4 linked regions of the Pelodiscus sinensis genome follow. The protein of the gene in region 1 purifies or fractionates together with the protein of each later gene. This does not show direct contact. Links are inferred from orthologs where the notes say so. Each region holds a gene or a part of one and is shown in the gene's direction. Other genes may lie near its edges. The genes, in order: CNOT1, TNKS1BP1, OBI1 and CNOT6.

Evidence for each region.
Region 2: the proteins of CNOT1 (region 1) and TNKS1BP1 purify together in Homo sapiens (affinity purification with mass spectrometry; 5 studies listed by BioGRID and IntAct, with this or other methods). This does not show direct contact. The link is inferred for Pelodiscus sinensis from reciprocal best matches to the Homo sapiens genes CNOT1 and TNKS1BP1.
Region 3: the proteins of CNOT1 (region 1) and OBI1 purify together in Homo sapiens (affinity purification with mass spectrometry; 3 studies listed by BioGRID and IntAct, with this or other methods). This does not show direct contact. The link is inferred for Pelodiscus sinensis from reciprocal best matches to the Homo sapiens genes CNOT1 and OBI1.
Region 4: the proteins of CNOT1 (region 1) and CNOT6 purify together in Homo sapiens (affinity purification with mass spectrometry; 5 studies listed by BioGRID and IntAct, with this or other methods). This does not show direct contact. The link is inferred for Pelodiscus sinensis from reciprocal best matches to the Homo sapiens genes CNOT1 and CNOT6.

Annotation. Positions count from the first base shown.
Region 1 is NC_134722.1:46,505,950-46,513,463, reverse strand, and holds the start of CNOT1 (CCR4-NOT transcription complex subunit 1), read left to right. Parts: upstream 1-4,509; 5' UTR 4,510-4,668; intron 4,669-7,514.
Region 2 is NC_134714.1:128,191,927-128,199,082, reverse strand, and holds the start of TNKS1BP1 (182 kDa tankyrase-1-binding protein), read left to right. Parts: upstream 1-4,154; 5' UTR 4,155-4,311; intron 4,312-7,156.
Region 3 is NC_134711.1:265,221,316-265,228,603, forward strand, and holds the start of OBI1 (ORC ubiquitin ligase 1), read left to right. Parts: upstream 1-4,275; 5' UTR 4,276-4,817; coding exon 4,818-4,889; intron 4,890-5,046; exon of another isoform or gene 5,047-5,277; coding exon of another isoform or gene 5,278-5,313; intron 5,314-7,288. UniProt on the Homo sapiens protein: E3 ubiquitin ligase essential for DNA replication origin activation during S phase.
Region 4 is NC_134727.1:33,387,912-33,395,830, forward strand, and holds the start of CNOT6 (CCR4-NOT transcription complex subunit 6), read left to right. Parts: upstream 1-4,906; 5' UTR 4,907-5,059; intron 5,060-7,293; exon of another isoform or gene 7,294-7,671; intron 7,672-7,919. UniProt on the Homo sapiens protein: Poly(A) nuclease with 3'-5' RNase activity.

The DNA of each region.
Region 1 (7,514 bases):
AGTTAAAAGGGCTGCAGTCAAGGTAGAATCACAGGGGATTATATTAAACACTTAGAATGATTCAAACTGAGACTTGTACATGTGTTTACTCTTGGCAATTGGTGCTTTTCTCTGAGTGTGGATGAGGAGAAACAAAAGTGAAACTGACCTTGTTTCTTGTCCATTTTGATGGGGGGGCCTTAGCAGAGGGTCAGTGTCTGGGTGGCAAACTCTGTAGTGGCAGGACAAGGCTTCTCATTAGAATTTACAAACACACTTTTCTGTTGATCTGTTTTGTAGAACAATAAATGAAATAAAAATCTGGGTTTGTTTTTTAATGCAAGACTTAAATGCTGAGCCTCAGTTGACTCCTCCTCCATACAGGCAGCTTCTCTAAGGGAGACTTGCCCCACAAGCTGGATCTGGGCTGCAGGTTCTCCACCCCCACACCGAAGGTGTTTGCTCATCACTGCCGGATGCTCTCTTGGACTTGTGGGGAGGGGCGGGTGCACTTCTCTCACCTGCCACTCTGTGACTAATAAACCAGGAATTGCTACAGGAGCTGGATCATCTCTGCTGCAGAGCCTCCTCCCTGTTAAGCTGCAGGGATCCTGGCTTGGGTCTCTGTATTTCAGAAGCTGGGGCTGGGTGACGGGTGGGATCGCTTGATGATTCTCCTGTTCATTCCCTCTGGGGTATCGGACCTTGGCCACTGTCAGAAAACAGGGTCCTGGGCTAGATGGACCTTTGGTCTGGCCCAGTCTGGCTGCTCTTGTGCTGGGCCAGGAGTGAAAGACGGGGGGCTGGCTTGTAGAAGCTCCATACTAAGGTGGCAGGTTGACTTACTCTGCCCTTGGTGTAAAGGCTAAAGACTGGAGGCTGCTCTGTTTCTCCTAAAGGGCCGGTATGTTGGTAAAAGCAGCCGGGACTGCGGTGTCCTAGGCCCAGGAGGCAATAAGCGTGATGCATTTCTTCCCTTGGGGCCTCGCGCTGCGGGGGGGGATTGCTCAAATCCTGTGTACAAAGCTGTAACAAACAGGCATGGGTGGTGCTCGGCTGAGCTGGTTGGGGCTAGCGGGGGGTGAGGGGGAGCACGTGCTGTGCTCCCAGGCTGTCATGCTAAGCATTCCCAGGGAAGGGCTGGCTGGCCGCCCGCTTATGGAAAGTCCAGCTCAGAGGCCCCGCTTGGTACCGGCCGGTGTTCCTGGGGCTCAGGGTGTGAGCCAGTGTATTGAAAAGCAGACGCACCTGATTCTCTCTCATCCGGATCCCCTACCTGTAGCCCATAGCGCCAGCACAAGGCAATTCTCCATCCCTCTCAACCCATGCTCCTTGAATTCACATTTCCCCACCCCTCCTTCCTGTGCATGTTCTCTGAGCAGCCTGCTGGGTGGGGATACCTCTGAGGAGCTGACGTCCCAGCTGCATTAGGCACGTGGCCAGCCTGGGTTTTTCAAGAGTGACTTAGACACATAAGTCCTATTGAAAGTCAACAGGGCTTGTGCTCCCAACTCCCTTTGTCATGCTCAAACACACAGCTGCCTCCTGCTGACAGTGGCAGGCCTGGGGTAGTGGTGTGATGAGCACAGCTCCCTACAGACAGATGGCTACTTCTGCTTTCCCTGTGCTGGAGGAGGGGTTGGAAGCTTTTTAAAGTGCATTCGGCAACAGCAGCAACTTGCTGGATGGGGTGGGTGCCTTCCAAGGAGAGGGGGATGCAGGTGTAACACTGGTCACCTGTGGGTGGAATTGAACCTGGGACCTCTGGAGCCCAGCACAGGAGCCTCTACTGCAGCAGTGGACAAAGGGCCCTCTACAGGCCAGATTCGGCCCACCAAGCCAGTGAAGTGGGCCTGCGGCCGCCCTGCTGCCCCCACCATGCTGGGGGTGGGGAACAGGCGAAGTCTTTCGTGTCTTGGCCCCACCCTACCAGGGGCACACAATGGCTAGAGAAACATGCCAGCTGTTTTAAAGCAGCTGGCATGTATCTCTAGACGCTGCACGCTCTTGTGGGGACCAGGAGACTTTGTCTGCTCCCTTGGCCCTGATTGGCTTGGGGAGCGCGTGAGGTCTCCTCCCACTGGGTGCCTAGAGGGAACTGCCAGCTGTTTTAAAACAGCTGACCTTTCTTTCTAGGGGACAGGGGAGGGAAGGGGAAGATTTCCCCCACCCCAGGCCAATCAGCATTTTGGGGGAAAGCACAAGAAGTCTCCTGGCCCCACCCCTTCTGTCCAAGGTTCTGCTCCTTCCAGGGTGGCCTGGGGTCACTTCTGAAATTTCTGAAGTGGCCCCCTTTTAAAAATTATTGCCCTCCCTCCCTCTTCTACTGCACGAGCTAAAAGCTAGCTGTTAGAACAATGAGTCTGCTCTACAGCCTTACCTATCTGTATGGGTCTTGGTGCCACTGGAAAGGATAATGCACTGCACCCAGGAGAGACGTCTTCTAGTAGAGGAAGTGGGTCCCAAGCTTCAGAGACATCCCATTTGAAATCCCAGAGGAGCCCCTATTTGCAGAGGTGATGGATGATGTGGGTTGTTGGGAGGTGGGCTTGAGCCTGTGATCTTAGGGGCTAGGGATTTTACTGGAAGGGCTGCATTGCAATTTGATAGTTCCATGATCCTGAGTAAACTGACCTGGGCTCTGAAACATACTTTTAGTTATTGGTAGCCAGAGGACTCCACCATCACCGACAAAAACAAAGCTATTACTTTCATTTTGTGAAGACATTAGCAAGTGACAGGACACGAACTTGTTCATCATTACTTTTGTATGATTTTTTCCCCCCTATGAAAAATGGTTCATATAATTGGTTATAAGATAGTTATTAATATAATCAAGCTTCTCCTATAAGTTGTTCCATTTCATGGCTATCCTTGCTGGCATTTTGATTACACTATTTGTATATAGGACAATTTTTAACAGGCTTACAAATGCTGGCAGAGTAAATACTAGCCAAAAAAAACCCCCAATAATCATCACAAAAGTGAGCTTTGTTTAGATAAACTATATACAGTAATGTAATAGTCATAGCTATTGAACAGGGTGTTATCCATTACAGAACAAGTGTCCACATCTTGTTTCTAATGGTGTTTTCATAAAATTAAAGCTTTTATTATACATATTTAGCAAGGACATTTCTTAAATATTAGTAAAAATATTGGCTAGATTTTTAAAAAAAATGTGAATATACTTTGTGAGAGTCAATAGCAACAAATATTTACATGTCCCCTATTTTGCTTAGTATGTAATTAGTGGTAATTTTTCGTAACCAGAACCTTTTATATTTTTAAACCATTCCTAGTCTAGAGTTTCAGGGGGTAGCTGTGTTAGTCTGTAACTTTAAAAATGAGTAGACCTGTAGCACCTTAGAGACTAAAGACAATATATCTGTATCATGAGCTTTCGGGGGGCAAAACCCACTTCTTTCAGATGAGATGATTTTGAGATCATCTCGGCTGAAGCAGTGGGTTTTGCCCATGGAAGCGCATTGCTCCAGAGTGGCACCATATTTTGTTTTCCATGCTGGCATTTCCCTAGCTCCAGGCACTGACACACACCCTCACGCCCATGCGCTGCTCCGTGCACTGGTTCTGGATCCAGAGATGCTGTGGCTGGAGGGGGACCAGGCCTGTTTCTGCTATGCACCAGCTGCCAGCCCAAGCCAGGCGGGGCTGCTGCCTGCAGGGATTCTGGTCTCACACTGGTTTGACTTCAGGAGTGACTCCTGCTTTGCGTTGGCGCGGGGCAGGGCGCTGCCTAGCTCAGCAGGTGCCAGGCGCTCCAAGCCTTTGCCATGTGCAGACCAAGAGGGGCTGGCTGGAAGATCATGTGACACTGGGGGAGGGGAGGGGAGAGACTAGAGCAAAGTGGCCTGTACCATTATATAAGCCTCACGGGGGTGTGTGAGAGAACAGGAAAGATGCAAACAACTCCTACCACTACAGAGGTACGGGGGGGGGGAGGGGTGATGGACTGAACCACTGTGGAGGTACAGTGGGGTGGAGAAGCCTGCCCGCATTGTTGTAGCGCAGGTGGACTGTACCATTGGGCTCTCCGCCTACAGAAGGCACATGCCGTGCAACATGGGGTGGCGGGCGGGAGATGTTGCCCCTCACGCTAGGGCTGGGCAGCCACTCCTCTTCCCCAATGACTCCGCTCGCCCTTTGCGGCCTCCTTTACTTCCCCTTCCTCGCCCAGCCGCGCTCCTCTTCCATTGGCCAGACCCGGGAGCGCAGATGCCTTCCCCGAACGCTGATTGGCCACAGCGCCTAGGCGCAGGAGCCCTGACCTTTGATCTGCCGACGGGAGGGAGGAAGGCTTCCTTTTCATTAACCAATCAGCGTCCGGCCTTTGCTTTGGCGCAGAAACGCAACGCTCCCCTTTCTTTCCCGAATGGACGCCGGTCGCTGATTGGGTGGAACCCCCCCCCCAGCGCAGGCGCCTTTGCCGCCTGCCTGAACTGTGATTGGGTGGAATCGCGTACGCAGGGGAGGACGGCCGCGGCCCCGCCCTGCGCGTGGCGTGCCGCGAGGGGACTGGGGAGGGGAAAGGCCGCGACGTGAGCGCGCGACCCCGTCCGCCATTTTGTATTGAAACCAGCAGAGGCGAGAGGCTGAGAGGGGATAAAAGCGCGAGAAGCTGACCGAGGCGCCCGCTCTGGCCCCGCGACCCCCGCCCTGCTGCCTGAGGTGAGCGCTCCGACGGGCCCGGGGAGCGGCTGCGGAGGCCCGGCGCAGCCCTGGGCTTGGGGGCCGCGGGGCCCGGAGGCCAGGCGAGCAGGAACCAACCGGAAGGAGGGGCGCTTGCGCGGTGGGGGCTCTGGGGCGGTGCTGAGGCGCTCGGGCCTAGGCTGGGAGTGGACCCGGGCTCGGGGGCAGTCGGCGGCCTGGGCCTGTCGCGGGGACCCCGCGCGCGTCGGGAGGAGGCGAGCCCCGCCCCCGTCTCGAGTTGGCAGCAGGAGCGGGGGGGCGCGGGTGGGTTTGGGGGCCGGAAGTTCCCGATAGCAGGAGCCCCGCGCCCCAGCCGTGTCCGGGGGCCTGTTTGCGCCGCGCCGCCGCCGCCGCAGGGCTGGGCGGTTCGGGCTGGTCCTGCCGCCCCGTGGGGGGGGGGGGGGGGGCTGTGCTCCCGCTCCCCGTGTCCCTGCCCGGGGGGGAGGCGGGGAAGAGCAGAAACTTCCCCTTTCTCCTGCGCGCTTCTCTGAGGCACCAGGCTCAAAGCGCTTGCTAGCAGGGAGCCCAGGACAACCTGCCTCTTCCCTGTCGGGTGAAGAGGGTTGGACTTGGGCAACCCCTTCCTCTGGAGCTACTTTTGCATCCGTATGAGTAACCGTGGTTTGGAGTGGGTTGGAGCATGCCTTTGAATACTTGTCCCTCAGTGATCGCTTCTAACCAGCAGCTACATTTGTTCTCTTCTTGGTAGAATACATGTTTGCTAAAGGAGGGAATAAAACTAGCTGGCTATTTGGTGGAAATGCAAAATATCGATTGATTATTTTTTTGGTCCCTTGCCTCTTAAAAGTGCCCTATTAAAAAGCAGTTTTATCAAAGACTATATCCTCATTTAAACATACTTGAAACACACAAATGGTGCTTGTTTATAGGTTAGTGTAGTGGTTTTCAACCTGTGGGCTGCTTGCAGCCAATTCAGTGCACAGCTGCAGTTCTCCATATGGCTTCTCAGGGCCATGCAGGTAGAGTATATATGTTGCCTGGATGTGGTCCAGTGTAACTACAGATCCAGCCCACAATAGAGAACAGGTTAAAAATCCCAGTGAAGTAGAATAAGTCTTGAATATTTTAAATGTCACAATATACAAAATGCAGTTTTGGCTTCAAGAAAACTTTTTCTGGGACAAACTAAGTTAAGGATTTAAATAAACTGTTGGGCATTGTAAACAGAGACTTGCATTTGTAGCATTCCCCCCCTTGCATCTGCTTTGTAGAGCTGCTCTTTAACTCTAAAACTTTGATGATCTCTTGAATGGCAAACCTGACATGGATTCTTGGAAAGTCTAGTAAAAGGCAGTCTTGAAGAAAGCCCCACCGTTTATAAGAGTGCTATTATATTGCCTGGGTTGATGAAAAATAAATTCATAAAAATGGAGTACATGTTCTTATAGAAAGTACTGTGAAGGCATGGTCTCTAATTGTGGCTAAGTTCAGAGTACTAAAATATTTAGCTATTGAGCTGAAAGGAAAAAATCTTTCCAAATATTTCCATTAACAGTAATAAGCAGCTAACTAGCATTTGCCTAGCTCAGAACTAGAACACTTAACGCACTGTTGTTTTTAAAAATAGCTTCCTTGAAATGGGTGTTCCTTTCTTGTGTAATAGCCTTGTCTTCCTGACTCTTGAAACTAAAAGGTGACTGCCAGCTAACTTTAACAAATCACAAAAGATTTTGTTCAGCACACAATTGCGAAAGGAGCGAGATGTGATTTACAGTGGCTTTACCTATAATGAATGGATGTAAAAGTTCACTATACCATGACAGTCAAATATGGATTTAGTACATGCAACTTAAAAGTTTAAAAGCCTCCGGTTTTGTCATCTGTTTGGATAGTGCACATGCTTTGTCTGCTCTACTTCAAGGACTCTGTGGTGGAAACCATGAAAAGATAGCAGCAGCTGTCAGATTGTTAAGCAGATAGTGAAATGCAAGGATTTCTGTATATATGGAGGGAATTCTATATACGAAGAATGAATTGTCATAAAAGTAACTTCAGGATGCTGCTTGTTGCCAGGGTAGCAATATTTTGGATTGAATAAGATGAAGGCAAAAACTAGCCCAGATGAGATGCCTTGTAAATAGGAATAGAGAGGTAGCCGCTTTAGTCTGATACTTCTAAAACAAAAGGGAAAAACTATGTAGCACTTTAAAGACTAACAGGATGGTTTAATAGGCGATGTGCTTTCATGGGCCAGACCATGAAAACTCATCACCTATTAAACCATCTTGTTAGTCTTTAAAGTGCTATGTAGTTTTTTCTTTTGTTTTTGTAAATAGGTGGCAGCCTTCTATGGCTGTGCAGCAATGTACTTTCTGGTCCCACTCCTGCATCTTGAGTTGGTATTGTCCTACACTCCGTCTCCCTATAAATATGGCTCTCTCAGCCTGACCCACATCCTGTTGCCAGACAACTCCATCTTTCTTTCTGGAGAGAGCATTGTTCTTGATCATTCTTCTAGTCAGTGTTTACTTTAAAATTGTATTTACTCATTCCAATCCAGATATTAGTTTCCCAGTAATGTGACTAAATTGTCATGCATGTGGCTTATGCAGTGCATTTTTTCTTGCCTTAAATGCTTAAGCAGTAAGTGTTTTGTAGTTAACTTAGCTTTGAAGCATATTTTCAGTTTCTTCCTTAACAGTCTTTTGTAGCACTAACAGGGAGGATTGGGCAATATGACCATATTCCAAACTAGTTTAGTAATTTTGCTCCTCCATGTTTCTTATGTAGTATCTTACGGAATTTATATTCCTGAAGTGGCCTCACATTTTTTGGGCTCAGATAAATCTCTAACCTCCACATTG
Region 2 (7,156 bases), on another chromosome or scaffold:
TTTAGCCCTGCCCTGTTCCGGATGGCACAGGTCATAGGTCGCTGAGGTGAGAACTAGACTCCCCTCCCCCTATCCCTTCTGCCAGGGGCGGGGCTGGAAGGACGACACAGCTGCCCCATTGACTGGACCCAGCCCTGCTTCTGGCCCTTGCTTGCCCCCTTCTCCCTCGCGGGGCTTGTGCTGAACTCTGGAGAACGACGGGGTGCTAGAAAGCAGGGGAAGGGGGTGCACCTCCAAGCTGCCGGAGCCCCACTAGGCCCTAGCAGGGGGCCCTCCCAGCGTGCTGCGGGGAGCCGGCTGGGCGGGGTCTGTCCCCTGGCCTGTAGCCGGGCTCCCTCAGCATTTTTTATGTTCTGTTTATTTTTGTATTTCTCGTCTGTTCACGTGGCAATTGGGTGGAATAAAAACCAAGCGACTTTGGGTGGAGCTTCTGTCTTGAGTGTGGCTGGGGGACAGATGGCCGGGTCTCCCAGTGCAGAGGGAGCAGGCGAAGCCCCACGGGGTGGTCGTCTCCTCCCCACGGCCGCATTGCTGGCTGCCATCCACAGGAGCGCTCCTGCGGTGGGGTGGGGCTGAATTTGGGCCAGTGCCTTATCTCACTTCATTCCAGTAAGCTGTGGCCTTAACGGCATTAAAGGCCATCGGACACCTGTGGGAGCTGCCTAAGGAGGGAGGCGGTCGATAGCAATGAGGTTTAGTCAAGTGTTAGGGGCTCCCTCTTCTCCCCTGTCTGTGGCCTGGGCCATTAACAGGCTTAGCCGGCAGGGAGGGTTGTTCCTAAGATGGCTTTATGTGGGGGAGCCTGCCCCATACCTCCCAGTGGATGCTGGGTCCTGGAGCGGAGCACTTCCCCTCTGCCTCCTGGCCAAACCCCCCAGCCCGCTCCTGCACCTTACCTCCTGCCCTGGGGGCAGCGTGGGGGGCTCAGAGCCTCATCGCTGTCCCTTCTGGGCCTAGAGCTCTGCCCAGCTCGCACTGCCCTGAGGGTGGGGGAAGGGAGCGCGAGCGGCGGCTCATTCGTCTCCATTGCGGCCCTTGCTGCCAGGAGAACTAAGCCAAGCTGGGGGCAGGAGGCCTGATGTGATCAGAGCCTATTACCGGACCTCAGTGCTCCATTAAAGTGTCTCTGCCCCCCACTTCCAGTCACCTGTGCGTCAGCCCGTGCACTCTGCCTCGCTCTAATTGAATCAGCCCGCAGCGCCGAGAGGGCAGAGAGCCCTGTTGGCCTTGGGAGGGGGAGGAATGCGCCCCAGGGGCCGTGGCTTTCATAACCAAGGCTGGAGCAGGTTAATTGTGCAGATGGAAGCTGGCCCTCGCGGGAAATCCTCCGGGGTCCCATTTCCTTTGGCCTACTTTCTGTGGGTTATTTACCAGAAGTGCTCAGCTGCCAGGAGTAAATGGGAAGGCAGACTGCAGGCAGCCACGGCAGTGCCTCTCTTCGCGCACCGTGTGCGGCACTAGGGCCGGGCCCAGCAAGGGCGTGGAATCGAAAACCAGAAGGGACCTCTGACCACCGGGATGTGACAGCCCCTACATCCAATGCCCAAAATCAGACCAAAGCATTAAGCCGCCAGAGACTGGGCCAGTCCTCGGGCCACAGCGGCTGTGCCTTTAATCCTCTACTGTCACATCCGGCTGGAGCGTAGGGTAGACCCGACAGCCTCTGCCCTTCCTGCATTTGTCCTGCGATTCCACCGCAGCTGGGCCTACACTGCTTTGCCCTGGGAGCTGGGCCATGTAAGCAGCTGCCCACGTGCAACTGGGAGCTTTCAGGAGGTGTGGCTGCCTGGCAGGGCAACATGCAGAGATGACTAGAGTTGGCTGCCCTTTGGGATGAAATTTACAGTGAGACTTCCCAGGTGCTGTGTTAGGTTCTTCCTCAAGGCAGGGATGCTCAGCTTTGGTCCTTGGGGACTCCACAGCTATGTCTACACTGGCAGGTTCTTGTGGAAGAACCTCTTGTGCAAGAACACGTCCACACAGCCATGTGCTTTTGCGCAAGAGTATCCATGGCAGTGCGGACACTCTTGCATCGGAAAGCTCTGACGGCCATTTTAGCCATAGGGCTTTCTTGTGCAAGAAACTCCTGCTGCACGTCCACACTGCTCTCTTGTGCAAGAACGCTTGTGCAAGAGCGCTTACACTTGTTAGAAAAGAGCGTAGCTGTTGCACAAGCAGCCCTCTCTTCCTATGCTTAACTGTAAAGCTTGTGCAAGAGTTAGGGGGCCGTGTGGTCAGTGCGCAAGAACCTCCGTTCTTGTGCAAGAACCCACCAGTGTAGACATAGCCTAACAGTCCAGGACTTCAATCCAACCTGTCTTCATCTGAAGAAGTGGGCTGTACCCACAAAAGCTCGTGATGCCATCTACATGTTTTGTTAGTCTTTAAAGTGCTGCCGTGCTATTTGTTGTTTAAGTTTATTATGTATGGAAAAGAGTTGGCTTTAAAATCAACACTGCATACTACTGAGTATGAAACACTTAAATGCCCTGATTCATACTAAAGTCTATGGCCTGTGAAAACTTTTAAACAGCTGGGCTATGTCTACACTGGCGGGTTCTTGCGCAAGAACCTGCAGTGCGTCCACCTGGCCCGCCTGCTCTTGCGCAAGAAGTTTTACAGTGAAGCGTGGGAAGAGAGGGCTTCTTGCACAAGAGCTACGCTTTTTCGAATAAGTGTAAGCCCTCTTGTGCAAGAGCTCTTGTGCAAAAGGGCAGTGTGGATGTGCGGCAGGGGTTTCTTGCGCAAGAAAGCCCTAAAATGGCCATCAGAGCTTTCTTGCGCAAGACAGCATCCACACTGCCATGGATGCTCTTGCGCAAAAACACGTGGACGTGTTCTTGTGCAGGAGCTCCTGTGCAAGATGTTCTTGTGCAAGAACCCGCCAGTCTAGACATAGCCAAGTAGTCCTGTGGCACCTAAGAGGCAAACAAATATATAGCTAGTATCATGAGCTTTTGTGAGCACAACCCCCTTCAGATGAGATGAAAGCTCATAGTACTACAAATATGTTTTTGTTCCTCTCTGAGGTTTTTAAAATTACAGACTAACCTACAGGTGCCCCCAGAGAGACTTTTTATCTCTGGCCTATAGGGATTCTCTATGCAGTGTAACTGAAAACCAGCAGATTTGAATAAAAATAATTTGCTGGTTGCAACAAAACCTTAGATGGTTGGAGATCCCCCCAGGACATGAATTGGTCGAATAGGGTTTACGTTTTAAACTGTTGTTTTGCAGAACCTGCAACCTTTCAGTCAGGTCCTGCTTGTTGTTTGGACAAGCTGTGTGCGTGTGTGTGTACACACCTCCACTCCCCTCTTTACCCTTGCTGCCGGCAAAGCCTGTAATCTCCCTAGTTAAGTACGCAGGCTTGGAAAATGGCTTTCCCAGTTCTAAGGCCTCTGTGTGAGGTCCCGAGAACCAATAGTTTAAATCTTTATCTATTTACTCACACTGAGTGAGAGGAAAGTAGGAATGTGTGTGACCAATAGCCTACTAGTGCCTGAGTCTCTGGACATGCCTGAATATGGGTGAAACAGAAAAGGGGTTTAGCAGATATGGACAGACATCCTCTGTCCCAGCTATGGCCCTGGTGATTGCAGGAGAGGTTAATTAGGGAACAGACTTACAAAGTGGGCTGCCTGCAAGGGGTTTGGAGATTCCTGCCTCTGGACCTGCCAGTCCAGCATTAAAAGCATGCCCCTCTTACAGCCAGGCTGCACTGGAGAGTTTTAGGGGCACAGGGGACAAGGCTGGGTGAATAATGAAGATGTCGCTGGAGCTGCCCAATGAGGGCTGCAGTGATTTTAATTCCCAGGGGGGCTACTGACTCTGGAGTTACCCCTCCCAGCCTGGGCACGGGGGGGGGGGGGGGGCAGGCAGGCAGGCATGGAAGTGCCTGGCATGTTACCAGCTCGGTTGAACACAGACACGCCCCACATGTGAGCCTGGGGCCAGGCGCGCCCTCCCCACCTCGGGGTCCTGGCAAGCAGAGGCCGGTTCGGGCGGGAGGGGGAGGAGGAATGAAAAGGGCAGGCTGTAATGATCGAGGGGCGGGTATTCCAGTCACAGCTGGGGGGTGGGGGGCAGGAGCGGGGCCTCTCTAACCCCTCCCTCCACGGCACATCCTGCCCCATGGGTCGATGGCTTCAGCAGGGTGACACGTGGGAACGGGCGGTGTCCAGCGCGGGTGATTTGCATAACTCATGAATATGCAGCAGAGGGCGGAGGACCGCCCCGCCCTTGTTTTGCTTCTCATGAATATGCGCGGGGGGGGGGGGGTCGGGGCGGTGCCGCGCGGCGCGGAGCCCGGTGAGGAGCCGCCGGGACCCGGGGAGGGGGCGTGTGCGGGGCGCGGGGCTTCTGCCTTGGGGGGTGGGTGCTGAGCGTGCCCGGGGCTGCGGAGGCGTGTGCGGGCTGTTTGGGGGTCCCGTGGGCGGGGTGACGGGGAGGAACGGGGGGGTTGGGGTGCAGGGGCGATGCGGCTCTGCGGGGCGGATGCTGGCCGGGCTGCAGATGGGGGGAGAAGGGGGCTTGGGGGTTTGGAGACGTGGGGAGTCGCAGAAAGGAACGCTCAGCAAAGTTTGTGATAACAGCTGTGGGGCGGGGGAGCTGCGGGGGGGGGGGGGAGGCGCTGGCAGCAGGGAGGGAAAAGGGTGGGCGAGGGGCAGCCTATGGGGTCCCCCTGCTGGCCGCAGTGTGTCACGGAGGGGGGGGGTCGCAGTGCGGTGTCTTGGGGGTGCCCCATACTAGATTCTCTTGTCTCCAGCCGCACCCAGGGGCTGCTCCGGGCTGTGGCCAGGGCCTCTGCCTGCCCTGGAGGATTCACACTGATCCCTCCCCTCGCTGACCCTTCCCTTGGGCCCTTGCCAAAGCCGGGCCCTGGACCAGCTCCTAGAATCGCCTCCGAAGAGCTGTGTGAGGCTGTGTCCCTGGGAGCGGCCAGTCTTGTCACTGTGCCACCCTCAGCCACCTGGCCCTCCGCTTGATGCCCTATCGACCCCTGTGCCCTCTTTCCTGACCACCCACCCCCTGCACCTCCATCCCTTCTCCTCTCCTGCTCCCCCTCTCTCCCCTTTCCTCACCCTGGCTTGGTTATCCCCTGGCTACGTAGCTAATCAGATTCTCCTTCCTGCTGGAGGAGGAAGGCGAAGGCTCAACTTTGCCTTTCACTCTCCTGGATTCTAGCTCCAGGTGAGTGAGCGCTTAGCTGGGCTGGTCCCTAGATTTGCAGGTGCCAGAGTCCCTGCAAGCAAGGGCCTTGCCCTGTCCATTACGCTGCACTGTTCCCTTGAGCCGAATGGGGCCCTCTTGCACTTGTCCCTTTGCCTTCCCCAGGCTTGGGCCTGGTCTGCTCCACAGAGTTGATCACATTCTGTCAGTGTCAGGGTTCCCACTGACAAAGCCTCCGCTACACCGACCTAATATCTCCACCTTTACAAGAGGCCTAGCGCTTAGGTCGATGTAGTTAGTATGCTGCATTACTTCTATTGCCTGGAGCTGACAGCTGGAGCCTCCTCCCCTACCCAAATTTTTTAAAAAAAGTGTTTGGGGGTCCCACGGGCAGGGTGAAGGGTAAGAACAGGGGGTGTAGGGGTGATGGAGCTCTGCAGGGTGGATGCTGACCAGGCTGCAGGTGGTGGGGAAGGAGGCTTGGGGGTTTGGAGGCATGGGGAGGAGCAGGAAGAAATCACAAATTTTGCAGAGTGTAACAGCTGTGGGGGGAGGTGCTGGCAGCAGGGAGGGGGATAGGAACACCTGCAGGGAAGAGGGTGGGGGGGAAAAGGCCCTAGCTCTGAGCTGGTGGCTCATTTTCTCAGTAGGGGTTCAACCAGCAGTGAAACTAACATTCTTGTCAGTTTCACGGCTGGTATTAGTTCACAAGGTGCCCTGCAAGAGCTCCTAGGGGAGATGCGCACCACCAGTAAGGAAGGTAGCATAGACACCAACAGCTGATTCAATCGCTGTGGAGGTTGTAGGTCAACCTAATTGAAGTTGACTGAATTCTGTGGTATAGATAAGCCCTTGGTCTCCTACGTGCCACCTTTAGCTGTGACCATGACTAGCTGCATGTCCCTTTAGACTCCTCCCTGCTCCCTCCCTCTGTCTGTCCTAAGACAGCTCTTGGCTTGAACATGAGGTGGAAGTCCTGCCTCAGAGGCCTGGCAACTCTTGGGTATTCCCTCCTCTGCTTCAGCTTGCTTGCTGCTTGCAACTTAGGGCTCCTCGTGCCTGAGCTGCCCTCCATCTCCCAGCCTGGACTCCACTTAAAACCTCTGTGCTGTGCTGCAGTGCAGATGCTCTAGGCCAACGGGAGGGAGGTTGGGAGCGATGTGGATCCGAGCAGCTCTCCTTCCGTGCACTCTACCCGGAGGGCTAGGTTGGTGTAATTATGTCCCGCTCAGTGGGGGGTTCACACCCCTAACTGACGTAGCTGTTCTGAAGTCAGTGTGTCGTGCAGACCTAGCCTTACTCCGGCACACTTTCTGCACTCGTCGGTGTGAATAGTCCCAGTGTAGTCATGGCTAGGTGGGCAGGCAAATGCTTCCCTCGGCCACGGTGCTGTGGCCACAAATATGGAACCTCCCCATCAGTCGCTGTAGCCCGTGTGTATGCTACAGCAACAAAGCTACGGCATCTTCGCTGTGACGCCTGTAGTGTGGACAGGGCCTCAGTCTCCTTTGCTTGTTATGTTGTCTGTGAGCTCCACCTCTACTGAGGCTCCTCCCCCAAGATCGCCTCTTGCCTTGATGATTGTTCCCTTCTCCATGTCCCAGCATGGCCAGAAGCTGCCATTCACCTTCTGGCACCTACGCAGAACCCCAACCATGGCTCCCTATTCTTGGACTTCTCCTTTGGGACCGTGATCGGCTGTAGACACGATCTATGTGGTTGGTCCTATTCTCAGCCTCGTCCTATGGCCCCTCTTACAGAGGATCACCCTAGACCAATGTTCCCTCTAATCTTTTCCATTCATGTGCAGAATAATTTTCTGTGCACAGAGGCATGTGTGAATGTGCACCACCAATAGAAACACAACGCCTAGCTGTGGGCACTTGGCTAATCGGTTGGGACTCTGTCTTGAGTGGCCACACAAGCACATGGCTTATATAGGGAACACCGCTGTAGACCCTTCTAAGTCCTATGACTCTGTGAA
Region 3 (7,288 bases), on another chromosome or scaffold:
TTCCTTTGACTTCCTTTACTCTTCGAGAAATGAGTTGAAGTAAGAAGTCCTCCAGTTCGACATTATTTCAAAATAATGGCTTGCTGTGTAGATGCACACTCTTATTATTTCAGAAAAGTTAGATGTCTGCAAGTCACCAGGGCCTGATGAAGTGCATCCTAGAATACTCAAGGAGCTGATAGAGGAGGTATCTGAGCCTTTAGCTATCATCTTTGGAAAATCATGGAAGATAGGAGAGATTCCAGAAGACTGGAAAAGGGGAAATATAGAGCCTATCTATAAAAAGGGAAATAAGAACAACCCAGGAAACTACAGACCAGTAAGTTTAACTTCTGTGCCAGGAAAAATAATGGAGCAAGTAATTAAGGAAATCATCTGTAAACACTTGGAAGACAATAAGGTGATAGGGAACAGCCAGCATATATTTGTAAAGAACAAATCATGTCAAACAAATCTGATATGTTTCTTTGATAGGACAACGAGTCTTGTGCATAAGGGAGAAGCAGTGGACATGGGATACCTAGACTTTAGTAAGGCATTTGATACAGTCTCACATGATATTCTTATCAATAAAATAGGCAAATACAGTTTAGATGGGGCTACCATAAGGTGGGTGCATAATTGGCTGGATAACCGTTCTCAGAGAATAGTTATTAATGGTTCACAATCCTGCTGGAAAGGTATAAAAAGTGGGGTTCTGCAGGGGTCTGTTTTGGAACTGGTTCTGTTCAATATCTTCATCAACGATTTAAATATTGACATAGAGATTACGCTTATTAAGTTTGCAGATCATATGATGCTGGGAGGGGTTGCAACTGCTTTGGAGGACAGGGTCACAATTCAAAATGATCTGGACAAATTGGAAAAATGGTCTGAGATAAACAGGACGAAGTTTAATAAGGACAAATGCAAAGTGCTCCACTTAGGAAGGAACAATCAGTTTCACACATACAGAATGGGAAGTGACTGTCTAGGAAGGAGTATGGCAGAAAGGGGTTTAGGGGTTATAGTGGACCACAAACTAAATATGAGTCAACAGTGTGATGCTGTTGCAAAAAAAGCAAACATGATTCTAGGATGCATTAACGGGTGTGTTGTGAGCAAGACATGAGAAGTCATTCTTCTGTTCAATTCTGTGCTGATTGGGCCTCAGTTGGGCTACATCTAGACTGGCATGATTTTCTGCAAATGCTTTTAATGGAAAAGTTTTCCATTAAAATCATTTGCGGAAAAGAGCGTCTAGATTGGCATGGACGCTTTTCCGCAAAAGCACTTTTTGTGGAAAAGCGTCCAAGTCAATCTAGACACGCTTTTGCGCAAAAAAGCCCCGATTGCCATTTTTGCAATCGGGGCTTTTTTGCACAAAACAAATCTGAGCTGTCTACACTGGCCCTTTTGCACAAAAGCTTTGCGCAAAAGGACTTTTGCCCGAACGGGAGCAGCATAGTATTTCCGCAAGAAGCACTGATTTCAGATAGTAGGAAGTCAGTGTTCTTGCAGAAATTCAAGTGGCCAGTGTAGACAGCTGGCAAGTTTTTCCGCAAAAGCAATTGCTTTTGCGGAAAAACTTGCCAGTCTAGACGCATCCTTGGAGTATATCTCCAGTTCTGGGTACCACATTTCAAGAAAGATGTGGAGAAATTGGAAAAGGTCCAGAGAAGAGCAACCAGAATAAGTAAAGGTCTAGAGAACATGACCTATGAAGGAAGACTGAAAGAACTGGGCTTGTTTAGTTTGGAAAAGAGAAGATTGAGAGAGGACATGATAGCAGTTTTCAGGTTTCTAAAAGGGTGTCACAAGGAAAAGGGAAAGAAATTGTTCTTCCTGGCCTCTGAGGATAGAACAAGAAGCAATGGAGGTTTAGGTTGGACATTAGCAAAACGTTCTTAACTGTCAGGGTGGTTAAACACTGGAATAAATTTTCTAGGGAGGTTGTGGAATCTCTATCTCTGGAGATATTTAAGAGTAGGTTAGATAAATATCTATCAGGGATGGTCTAGATAGTACTAGGTCCTGCCATGAGGGCAGGGGACTGGACTTGATGACCTTTCGAGGTCCCTTCCGGTCGTAGTATTCTATGATTCTAACATAAGTTATTCCAAAATAATGCTGCTGCATAAACGTACCCTTAGTTTTTAAAAGTGCCACAGGACTCCTCATTGTTTTTGAAGATACACGCTATCACAGCTTCCCATCAGAGACTTATTTTGGCTGTTACACTTAAAGCTGGTTTAATTGTAAAAATAATCTTTAGGTTGGCATAGTCTGTGTTATGATGATTATCAGAGACTTTCCCTTTTCCCCCCCAGGTCTTGGGTGTTCATGCCAGGGATAGCAGCAGTGTATTCTCCTAGAAGACAGCAACCTGCCTCAGTTAGTTATAATTAGAGATAAGCTTACTCCAAAAAAAACCCTCACTTCTCAATAGCTGGGGAAAGTTTACATATAGATATGAAATTTATGGCTTGGCATATATATCTAGTAATGGGCCCAAAAAAGAACCCAAATCCAAGCAACCCTACTGCTGGAGGAAGTTGAGATTTTGTTCTGAACTTTGTTTCATAGGTCATTCTTCCTCTTTTGCAGAGTTGCTCCTACACTTTTTCTGGGAGGGAATCTGTATTTTGGAGATTGCGGGAAATATCTCTGAGTCCAGCTGTGCTGCACTTGAAGTAGAAACTGGCAGAGGAGGAATGTTGCTCTAGGCTACCCTTCTGTTCCTCTGATCCAGAAGCTGGCTGAGAGATGATTCATCCCCAAATGGAATTTAGAAGAGCCTAAGATTATTTCACCTTAATTTAGAGCATCCTGAAGTATGCTGGCATTAACAGTCCCATACACACCCTTAGATACCAAGGATCACCAGAGCACATGAAGCCCTGGCCACATTGCTGCTGCTCTTCGAAGCACACATCTTTTATTAGAGTGTGGACCCCAAATGGATAGTTTAGAACAGAGGTCTCCAATCTTTTTAAGCACAAGATCACTTTTTGAATTTAAGTTAGTCCAGGATCTACCTCAAAACCAAGTACGGTACCCCTGCTCCACCCCTTCACCGAGGTCCCACCCTCCTCACTCTGTGAAAATGGGGTACAGGGAAGGGGGACAGTGTGACATCAGTACTCCCCTGCCTCTGTGTCCCTAAATCTGCACAACAAGCAGGAGGCTCCCAGGAGGCAGCTCTGGGCAGAAGCAGCTGGACTGTGGGAGGAGGGGCAACTGAAGGGCAGGCACTTGATAGCCTCTCAGCCAAATCAGTCAGGATCACTTGTCAGAGGCTCCAAGATCTACTGGTAGATCCTGATCTACTGGCTGGTGACCACTGGTTTAGAACCACCTGTGTTGACTCTGTGACACCTGGGGATTCTCTTTGGCCAGGAAACTTCCCTATTAAAGAAGCTTTCAAGGGAGCACCCCACTGAGCATTGCAAAATAACCACATACATGTGTGTGGGGGGGGGGGGGATATCAAGAATCTGGCCCTGTTCATTTCTCTAAGGTCTAGTCTTGCATACACATATAGTAGTCATTACTGTTTACTAGTTTAAGGTCTGTTCTACACACAATATTTGTACCAGTATTCTATTGGGGGGGGGGGGGTGTCTTTATCAAAAAAGCTATACCAATACAAATTATAGTGTGGATGCAATTACAAAGGTGCCATATTCTAGTAGAACTTATTTCCCTTTCTGATGGGAATAGCTATACCAGCATCAAAAACCTTTATATTAATAGCTACACTGGTGTAAAGCATCTGTATTGCACACATAAGGATCGGTGAGGAGTGTAAGAAGAGAACCTGTACAAGTTTAATTTAACTAATCTTTTGTGTGTACACAAACTCTAAATTACCCCACTGATTAGTCTTGGTAATATTTGTCAGATCAGATCCTTAAACTGTAAACCCTTCAGGGCAGGGATCATGTCCTCTTTTGTACCTTTCACAAAGCAGAGCAATCCCTGAGCAATTAATATTGATAACGAAAACAAAACAATAGTTGTTTAATACTATTATTACACTAATAATAGCAATAACAAAAAAGCATTGAATAACGATAGGGTGAAATGGGTCCTGTGCTACATTGCAACACTGTTCATTGGCTACAATCTTCATAGTCTTCTTGATCTTGGTTGTTCCACCTTCTGAGTTTTATGGAAATGAGGGGAAGGAACCGTTTGGAAAAGTTCATTACTTCAGCTCACCTCAAATAACAGGTTAAAACCAGGCACTTTAGAGCTCACCACAGCAGAGTTCTGAGAGTGGGCCAGGAATGCGGTATGTACTTGGGAGGGCGGAAACTTCTCCTTCTCACTACCCTTCTGTGGGATTAGAAAGAGACTGGTGCCTGGCTCAATGTGTCTAATGCTCTGACTTTCTATACAGGCCTTGGCCAGGGGGCCAAGATACTGAGGGACTCCTGCACAGACAAAGCAAACATGCTTAAAAAACAATAAAGAGAAATGGATCCTCCCTAAGGGAAAGGAGAACAATGATCAGTGAATGCTGCTACGTTAACAGGTGGGACCTGCCTACAGCTTCCTAGCCCAATATACCAGCCCTAGTTTAAAGCTGCAGGAAGGGAGCTAACCCTCGGGACGGCAGCAACATGCAGCTGTGTGCGCGCAGAAGGCCCGAGTCCCCTACTCCGCCTCCCGGCCTCCTGCAGGGGAACATTTCAAAAGCGCGATTTCGGTTTCCTATTTTGCGTTGAGGATTGGACTCTTTGGCTTGCCGTACGCAGAGTAGAGCGTGGAGGGCTGCCGCTTGCTGTTACCGCTGGTGGAACTTCCGCGCTCGCGGGATTCGAAACGCCACAATGGCTCAGAACGTTCAGAATGTAACATTGTCTCTGACGCTGCCCATCACCTGCCACATTTGCCTGGGAAAGGTAATGGAGCTGCTGCTGCTACTGCTACTAAGCAGAGCGAGCGGGGGTAAGAGGAGCCGGCTTGTACCTCCTCCCGCGAATGTGCACGGGGGCTGGAGTGGGGAGGTTCATGGGGCGGAGGGGGGGTTGCTGCTCTAAGAAGCCTGGCAAGTGCAGCCATGATTAGGGACTGGGATTATGTGCCTGGATTTAGTGTTGTCCTTTTAAACAGGCTGTAGCTGTTAAAGTGGCGCCGGGGAAAGAGAGAGAAAAGTTGGGGATGGGTGATCAATGCAAGGCCAGGGGAAGGACCCACGCTCGGTGGTGATTGCCGAGCTGGGATCGTGACCAGTGGTGTTTTACTGCCAGCAAGTTTTATTGCCATATTTCGGATTATGGGAAACGTGCGATGCGCTCCTTAAAAGAAATCTCTCCAGCGTTTCGGGTGAGTGACCCCCAGAGGCTTTATTTCCCCCCTCCCCTTTATCCGTTGTTTCCGGATAAAGAGGCTTTTTTTCCTGCATGCTTATTGAGGTACTAGGACACTTTCGAGTGGTGACTAGTAATGTGTTCGTTGAGGCTCGGTAGGAACTCTGTGCTAGCGAATGGCTGAACAAACATTTCAAATGCTGGGTGTGGGACAGAGTAGATCAGACAATATGAAGCCAAATTCTAGTCCATGCAGCAGAAAATAGTTCCATTTTCCTAACTCAAGTTTTCTTGAGACATAATTTCTTCTGTTGGAGGCTGGGGAAAGCTACCAAAAGCTGGTATTTCTTCAAGAACCCATCTTTTCAAATTCCTTTTCTTTTCTGTCTTTTTCTCCCTTTTCCCTTCTCCCCCTCCACAACCCAATAGATTCTGTGAATAGAGACGACCACTAGGAAATAGCCTTTGTGCTAAGGACTCTGACACTTGTTCGAATTGACAGTGAGGTTTGGGGATAGGATTTCCAAGGGATCAGGAGATGCCTGACATACAAAGTAGATACAGCATGGGGCAGTAGTCTCCAACCTTTGGAAGCCAAAGATAATTTTTGGGGGGGATTAAGGGTAACCTGGATATACCCTGCCCCTTCTCCAAGCCCTAACCATTCTCCATTTTTCTAATGCTTGCTTTTTCCCCACTCTCACTCACTTTTACCAGATTGGGGTTTGGGAGGGATTGCAGGCTCTAGCCTGGAAAAGAGGGAACTTGGGGTACAGGAGTGGGTAATTGAGTGCAGGAGGGGGCTCTGGACAGGGGCAAAGTGGGGGGGAGGTAGGGGAGGGGCTATGGGGTTTCTGTCAGTCTGGAGGAGGGCTGAGGGTTGGGTTGTGGCCTCCTACCAGGCAGCACCCAGTTGCCAGCTCAGTGAGACTAAAGAAGGTTCACTGACTATCCCAGGCCCATGCTGCTCCCACAATCAGTGGAACTGGAATAGGTTTTGAGTGGGGGTGCTTAACTGCACCCCTCACCATGCTCTAGACCTGGGCCGGCAGCCAGGTAGGATCCCAGTGCTGGCAGTGGAGCCCCTGGGTGTGTGGCTGGACAGGACTGTCGGACCAGCAGCTGGGTGGGATCCTAGGCTTGTATGGCGACATACACTGCTACACCAGTAGTGGAGCTCCTGGGCCGGCAACAGGACCAGTGGGCAGGGCTCCTGCATGCAGGACCAGCGGTCATGACCCTGGGGCCAGCAGTGGAGCCCTGGGGCCTGTAGCCAAGTGGGATCCCAGGCACACAGAGAAGCCACTAGACAGCAGCTGGCCTGGTGGCTGGGACACTGGGTGGCCAAGATGCAGAGCTGGGACTTGAGATGCCAAACATGGGGGTTCTGCAGCACTCCCTGTGCTATTACTTTCTGTGTCCAGCCTTTTCCTGGTATAATGTGCCTCTGTGTCCTCTAGAGGAGGGGAGCAGGGAGCACATGATACTGTGTGCTGCCCCTTTCTGCATACAACATCCTCTCACCTCCCATTGGCCACAATTTCCTGTTTCTGGCCGATGGATGCTGCAAGAAGTAGTTCTTGCAGGCAGGATGAGTGCCAAGACATGCTGTGCATGCACATATGAGGGGCTGCATTGGATACTTCTGGGAACAGGCCAGCAGCATGTGCAGGAAAGAAGCCTGCCTTATTAGTAATCTAGCTCCACCATCGTAGATTGCAATCAACTGGAGACTCCCTAGGATCTACCAGTCAATCACGATTGACCAGTTAGTGACCATTGGCATGGGAGATGACCATACTCCAGCGGCTTGCAGTTTAATGTCTCAATTCTGGCCTAGGGGAGAGAGAGAGTAGTTCATTGACAGTGTGGCTATATTTACTGGGAGATCAGCATTGTGGTGATTGATCCCTTGGCGGTCGATATAGGGGGTCTAATGAAGACCCAATATATCAACCACTGATTGCTCTCTTGTTGGCTGCGGAATTCCA
Region 4 (7,919 bases), on another chromosome or scaffold:
ACTTAACTTTGGAAACCCCAGGGGCCACACTACACGAGTTCTGCAAAAATGCAATATTTACCTGATTTCCACCCATATGACAGCACTTTAAATAAGCAACGAGAGTCCAGGAATTTAACTACTAAAATGCTTATCAACAGAGGACCATTATATTGACTACTTTTTTGTTTTGGCTTCCACCCGTGTTGTCGCATGCTTAGCCCCACATAAACCCAAACTGTGCTGCAGGCCGCAAACAAACAGGCTGCCGGCTGCATATGGCCCATGGACCACATGTTGAGTAGCCCTGATCCAAAATTTACTTTGCTAATTGGTCTCTATTTGAAATGATCAGGGCAAAAATCACTGGATCATTTCCCTATCTATTTTTAATACGTGTGAAAAAATAGCGTCTGTAACTCAGGAGACTTGGTATAATCTATGAACAAGGACAAGGGTAATGGAAATATCAGCTTTCCCACATTGCTCCAGCTATTTACCTATTCTGGAGGAGCAACACCAGAGTGAAAAGGGTTCCATTGTCCATTCATGGTCTTTGAGCTCTACTGAGATCAACAGGTGGGCCAAGTAACAGGGATGTTAAATTTCAACTACTCAGCTAATCGAGTAGTGGGGCTCTTGCTACATTTCAAAAGCAGGAGTGCCGCAGTCAGAACCTGGCACAAGTCCCTGCTCATGCTGTTTCCCCACTGTGCCTCTGCCGCTCCTTCCCCCCAGCACCGGCTCCTGCTCCCCCCCTTGCTGCCTCTCTCTGATAGAGGCAGCAGGGTGGTGGTGGTGGTGAAGAGAAACTAGATTTGCTTATCAGCAGGGCTTGCCAAGCCGCGTTGTTCGGCGTTCTGCACAGATTGTTCTGCGCATGCGCAGATCGCCTGAACCCAGCTCTTCCGGGATGTAATCTACTCACAACGGGCGAGTATATTACAGAGATTGTCAAGCCCTGCTTATCAGGCAGTCGACTAGTCACTCACATCTCTACCAAGTAACACATGTTTTTGCAATGTCAACATTTTTAAGGCAGATATTAGATAATGAACTTTTGGTCATCACCTAACTTTGCAAGATACTGCCTAAATATGAAAGACTCCACACATTATATCCCAGTACCTGTATCAGACCCCAGGTATGCAATCTCCCACAGGCTAAAGAGCTATGAACAACTGACTCCTCCTAGATAAGTAACAATTCTTGGGAAAACCCATTATGTATTTGAAGACTTACTATTCCTTTTGGAAAATGAATTCCAGACAGACGGATACATTCCATTAAGGCCATATTTACTCTAAAAAGTATTAACAACTTAAGTATGTGTGACTATTAATATCTGAAGGGGTAGCTGGTTATCAGAAAACATTTTGAGAAGTGATGTTACATGAGGTGGAGCAAAAAAACCAGCTTTCATATACAGAAGCCTAAAATATACCATGACTAAGTCCAAAATATAGAGCCAAAGAAGGAAATCATTTATTTAGCTCTATTACAAGTGTGAAGATTGCTAAGTCTTTCACCAGGATTACATATGTAATAAGTGTATGGTCATTGTTTTTAAAGAATATCATATGCATTGCTCAGAAGCAAGCAAGGGAACAGTCCCTCCCTTTCTAGTTCTTTTAACATATAATATTGCACAAGAACAATCTTGTTCCTCGTCCACAGAACTACAATTTGCTTTATTTTTTGTCACATGCCTCTACTTCAATTTAGACACCTGAAGGCTTTGTCTTACTAGCTTTCCTAGTTCACACCCAGGCTGTACTTCCAGGATGATGATGATGATGATCTTTTGTTATCTCTTCTGATCAAATGGTGCATAATAAAAATAGCATTTCACTGTCATGACACCAATGTTGGGCCATTTTGATTTCACTACACCTATAGTCACTCAATCTCTCATTTCTGGACAACACCCTCATCCTGCCCGTCACTCAAACCTGTATCCTGTAAAGGCCATGTCTACAGTTACAAGGTTACAGTGGCTGTACTGCTGTAAGAGCACTCATGTAGCCACGTTATGCTGATGGGAGAGAGCTTTCCCATTTAGATAATAAAACCTGCTCAAGAAATGGCAGTAACTATGTTGGTGAGAGAGCATCTCCTGCCAACGTAGTGCTGTGCACATAAGTTCTTATGCCGGCAAAACTTGCGTTGCTCAGGGCTGTGTTTTTCACATTGAGGTGCAACAAAAGTTTTGCCATCATGAGTGTTAGTGTAGATATGGCCTACATATAACAAAACACAACAGATGGCTACAGACTGACAGACGGGAGTACAAAGAAACAGTACAGCAGCAGCCTGACTGATCAAGTTTCTTGCAGACACCATGATAAAGTTTTAAGTAAGGCTTTGAAGAGGGATAATCCTTGTGCTGATGTTTCTCTCAAGCATGAGGTCAGCATGACAGAAAGCACAGAAGATGCTTGTTTGGAAATTTAACACGAGTGATGGAAGCTGGTATCGTAGACCGATTGGAGACGGGCGTTGACATCTCAATAGTGACTACGATTGTAAGTTAGGAGTAGACCATGAAGGGCGTTCAAAGTGAGGATAAATAGCTTATGTTTCATGCAATGGAAAAGTGGGTCCTGTGGAAGGGTCCAAAAAGGTTTGTCAGAAGAAAAAGCTAGGAAAATGATCTTTATGTCAATGCTGAATGGATATGAGTAGGACAAAAGTTGCATTAGTCAAAGTCAGACAGAAGAATGTTTCAGTGACTAAGACTAGATAAGGAGAGCTTGGACAGGAATTTTAGTTGGATGGATAGAAAATGCTGCATCTGAGAGGTATAATGCTGAAAAAACCTGCAAGACTTAGATATCTCCAGTAATGGAGATTCCACAACCTCTGGACTTGATGACCTCTTGAGGTCCCTCCCAGTATTCTATGATTCTATAGCCTGGATATGAGGATCTAGAGCAGGCATGGGGAACCTGTTTTGGGTCAGGGCCACTGACCCACATTAAAATCTGTCGGAGGGGCCGCACACAAGTGAGAAGCAAAAAAATCTCAAACCAAAAAAACGTGGTCCCTGGTTGAGGAATGAGACTCTCTACACTCTCCTTGCACACCAGAGCCTAGTGGGACCCAGACTAGTAGATTTTGTGTGCTCCAACCCCGCGATGAGGCAGCGAGGGGGCTGGAGCGGCAGCATGGGCTCCCCAGTGCTGGGTGAGGGAGGCCCTGAACCTCCGGAGACAGATCCAGGCAAGCCGGAGGCTGCATGCAGCTCCCAAACCTGAGGTTCCCCACCTCTGCTGTATACTATTCTTCCCCGTAGTTGAACAGATAAGTCTATGCTAACTAGTTCCTCTTATTGCTTCCCATCTCTGCAATAAAATTTTCAGATAAATTGCTAATGTTATACATTTCGTTGCAGATAACTCGCTGTTGTTATAGCTCACCTAGAAGCCACCAATGAAAAATCAGCATCATGCTAGCAAATGTATATCCAGGGAGCAAATAGGCCATTTTCCTTGTTGATTTCTTTCTCATACTTCTCATTCTTGTATACAAGAACTTACACACTTCTTTTAAGGTCATTACTTTTTGATAAAATACTTTGTTCCTTATACTGTTCAATATTCTTTCTAGCCCTCATATCAGGAACTTTTTTACAGCCAAGTACTACTTGATCTCCCCATTCCCAGAATGCTAACGTGTTAATAATATTTTCGTTATGTACTTGCTTTTTTGTCCCTTTCTACCAATTATTCAACCACTCGTGCACAGCACCCTCCAACTTCCCCATTAACACCTTCACACCACCTGTTCACCCAACTCCTCAGTGATCCCGCACCTTTTTTTTACCTACTCCAAAACACTCCTACAAACCCCACACGCTATGTCCAAGCTTGTTTTCAACCATACACATTGACCAATGCTGTCCCCTGTCCCACTGCATGCACTACACTGCTACTCAGATCTCACCAATATGCTCCTCCAAACATGCCCTGGGACCCCACGAGCCCCCCGCAGCTACCCCCTCTGAAACCCCCGCGGCCCCCCGGAACCTCATGGGCCCCTCGCGGCCACCCTCCTCCCAAACCCCACGGGCTACCCGCCTCCAGAACACCAAGGGACCTCCGCAGCCACCCCCCCCCCCGCAACCCTACGGGCTCCCCCAAACCTCACGGGCCATACCCCTCCGGAAACCCGAGGCCATCCCCCTCCGGACCCCCCAGGTCCCCCGGACCCCTCCCCACAGCCACCCTCCTCTGTACCCCACAGATCCCCTAGGCCATCCCCCTCCGGACCCCCCAGGTCCCTCTGGACCCCCCCGCAGCCATCTCACCTCCGGACCCCACAGATCCCCGAGGCCCTCCCCCTCCGGACCCCCCAAGTCCCCCAGACCCCCCCCCCGCAGCCACCCTCCTCTGTACCCCACAGATCCCCTAGGCCATCCCCCTCCGGATCCCCCAGGTCCCTCTGGACCCCCCCGCAGCCACCTCCCCTCCGGACCCCACAGATCCCCGAGGCCCTCCCCCTCCGGACCCCCCAAGTTCCCCAGACCCCCCCCCCCCGCAGCCACCCTCCTCTGTACCCCACAGATCCCCTAGGCCATCCCCCTCCGGATCCCCCAGGTCCCTCTGGACCCCCCCGCAGCCACCTCCCCTCCGGACCCCCCCCCCGCAGCCATCTCACCTCCGGACCCCACAGATCCCCGAGGCCATCCCCCTCCGGACCCCCCCGCAGCCATCCCCCCTCCGGACCCCCCAGGGCCCCCGGACCCCCCAGATCCCCGAGGCCCTCCCCCCCCGCGCGGTCCGTTGGGCTGTGGGGACGCTCCGAGCGCGGCCCGGCCAGGCCGCAGAGACGCCGCGCGCGGCGTGCGGTGAGTGTGGGCGGCCCCAGCGCGCGGCGCTGCGGAGGGGCGGGGTGCTGGGGCGGGGGGGGGCGGCCTGCCCGCTGCCGCCATGATGCTTGTTTGCTTTCAATGCGTGTGAGGAGAAGGGGGAGGAGGCGGGGGGGAAGCTGCTCTCCCGTCCGGCCCGCGGCAGGAAACAAAGAGCCAGGCAGGCAGCGGAGAGAGGGCGGCGGGGGGACGGGGATGCTGCAGCCACAGGTACGGGCAGGAGCGCGGACCCCCGGGCTTTACCCTGCGGGGTGGTTCTTGTTGGAGGAGTCTCGCGGCGTATTCCTGCGGGGCGGGGTGTGTGTGGAAAGAGCGAGTATTATTACTCCGAGGGGGGGGGGGGTGATTGGGGGAGGGGAGTACTGCTGCTTTGAGGGGGCGGGTATCACCGCTATGGGGGGAAGAAGTATTACTGGGGGGGGGCACACGGGCGCCCCTGTGTTGGGGGCCAAAGGGGTAGAAGTGCCCTGGGTGGGGGGCAGAGAATGGTGTATTGGTTCCAAGGTGCGGTTGGGTGGGGGCAGATTGCTAGGGAATTTGGGGGGGATTATTGCTGTGGGGGAGGGAGACCTCTTGGTCTGTGGTGGGGTGAATGGGAGTATTGCTCCGGGGCCTGAGAAGTAGTATTGATTTGAGTTGGGGGGGGGGGGGTTAATCCCTTGGAAAAAGCTCTGTGGGGGCTTTGTGGGGGGGGGGGGGAAGCGACGAGTGATTTTGCTCTGAGGAACAGGGGGCTGGATTAATACTCCAGGGGGTGGGGAGTTGAGGCTGGGAAGGGGTATTTCTCGCAGCAGGCCTGAGGGAGGAGAGGGGATGTCATTGTGGAGGGGAAGAAACGGTGGAGAAGCATTATTGCTGGAAGCTGGGGCAGGGAGGCGCTGAAGGAAGGGGGCTTGAGTGGGTGGGTGATATGAGAAACTCTTGAATGAAATGGGGCTTCTTTTCAAGAGGAATTAGACTGGAAGCTTATCCACAGAATAAGAGAGCCCAGAGGCAAAGGGCCTCCTTCCCTCAATAGCTTATTGTACCCCATATTTATTGGCATTTAGAAAGTAATTATATTAGGGTGGTTTTGCAGTGAGAGGAAAGGTGGGGGCTTCTTTCAGAGGAAGTAGGTTTATTCTCGTTTCAAAGGCTTACACGCATTGAGAAAGCAATTAAGAGGCAGTGACAATGGACTTGAAATTAGTATAATGGCATTTGGAAGTTTAAAAGCGTTTTTCCTGTGTAATTGAGTTTAAAATAATTAAACATGAAGACAGAAGGAAATGACATCAGTATGATAATTGACCATCTACATTCAGACCACAATTTTCCATCAGCCTACCCCTCTGCATTGAGAGACTTGAATTCATTTAAAGCTGATGTATTTCTTTTTGTAAGTCTTATTTTGTGAACAAGCAAAATTGGTTTGTAAACAAAATCTGTTTTCTGCTCCGAGAGAAGCCTCCCCTTTCATTTGCTGCTGATAGTCTGAAAACTGAGGCCTAGCTGGCAATAAGGAGGCCACAGCAGCAACTGCTTAGATCTATCTGAAGTAGAAAGGAAGAGTGTTAGAGGGTGATTGTCAATCCTGCTGTCCAATGAAATGACTGGGGAGGGCAGGACTTGTGGTGACATGCAGATAAGTGGTTGGGCCAATGAGACACTGGGATACACACATGTAGGGCGTAAACAATGGGGAACTGGGAAACATACTCCAAAGACAAGTTTATGCAGTGTTGTTATATGAAAAAATGTGTGTATGTCGTTAATCATGGAAATTATAATAATATCCAATTGATAGGGTTACTAAGCTCATGAGCAGGCAATTACTTTTGTAATTGACGGTTTGGAGAATGATTGCTATTGTATTTGTCAGACTCTGAGACAAACATGTAGGAAGTAAGCAGTTGTGAACTAGATGCTAGATCTATTTTTCGCTACACTACATGCTTTCAAATGTGAAGAATTTTAAGTTGCTGTGTTTCCCACTAGTGAGGTTAGCAAACCTGTTACATGCCAATTCCTGTATTTGGCTCAAAATTGAGATTTTTAGAGGTAAGATTTTACATAATCTGATCAATAATGTCTGTAAATTAAAAAAAAAATTCTTGTGAAACTGGCTTCATTGTCCCATCCAATCTTAATATGGGGGGGGGGGGGGGCAGAAAAATGGCTCAAGTTCTTTTGATCTAAAATATATTAGTAATGTAGAGACAAGAATTGCTTGAATATGACACTCTAGGAAGGCAATTGATTTATAACCAGTAATGGTTGTTCAGTTCTTCCTTTGTTTAGTTTCAGGAGGTTATTTTATTTATTTGAATTTCACTGAGTTGAGTATCAGATAAAAAAAAAATCAAAGAATGTAGGAATACCGGTGGTAATTGTCTGGTTTATGTGTGTAGGTTTGCAAGTGTTGATTGGTAATTTTATTGTATCTTGCATTTTTTTCATCCTAGAGCAGGTCTCGTAATTGGGAATTTATCAACATTTCCACTGGGGTAATTTTACAGGATTATCTGCCCTGTGTTCTTCCTGCTGTTTCATCTGGACTCTGGAGTTTGCTGCTAGCAATGAAGCCTTCTGTGGGGGTTTATTCACGCTATTACTGAAATGGAGCCATTCGCATTTGGATTTACGCTTTATTCACTTTCCACTTGAATCGCTTGGATCAGTCCATTTATAAAAAGGAGACTACTATGCATCTTTTTTCTGTTTGCATATTGAAGTTGAACGCTGGGTGCATCCTTGATGTGTACAGGCTGTTTACTTTGCTTGAATGTTAGAGGAAGAACTGAAATATAAAGATAGATGAGACTATAATACTGCATGGGCAGGTAACTACTTTCGGTATTTTATATTATCGGATCTTTTCTTTTTTGAAAAAAAATGTAGTGTTTCCAAGTTTGAAGAAGCCTTGTTAAACTGGGTTCACAGTGGTAAATGTTGAGAAGTAAAAATATTAAGATCTGGATATTCTAGGAGTGAGGAAGAAAAAAAATGATTAGTAAATCCAATGTACTGTTTAAAATGGAGAAAACAGCTTGGAAAACTGGAAGAAATGCCTCCAAAGTTAAAAAAAATC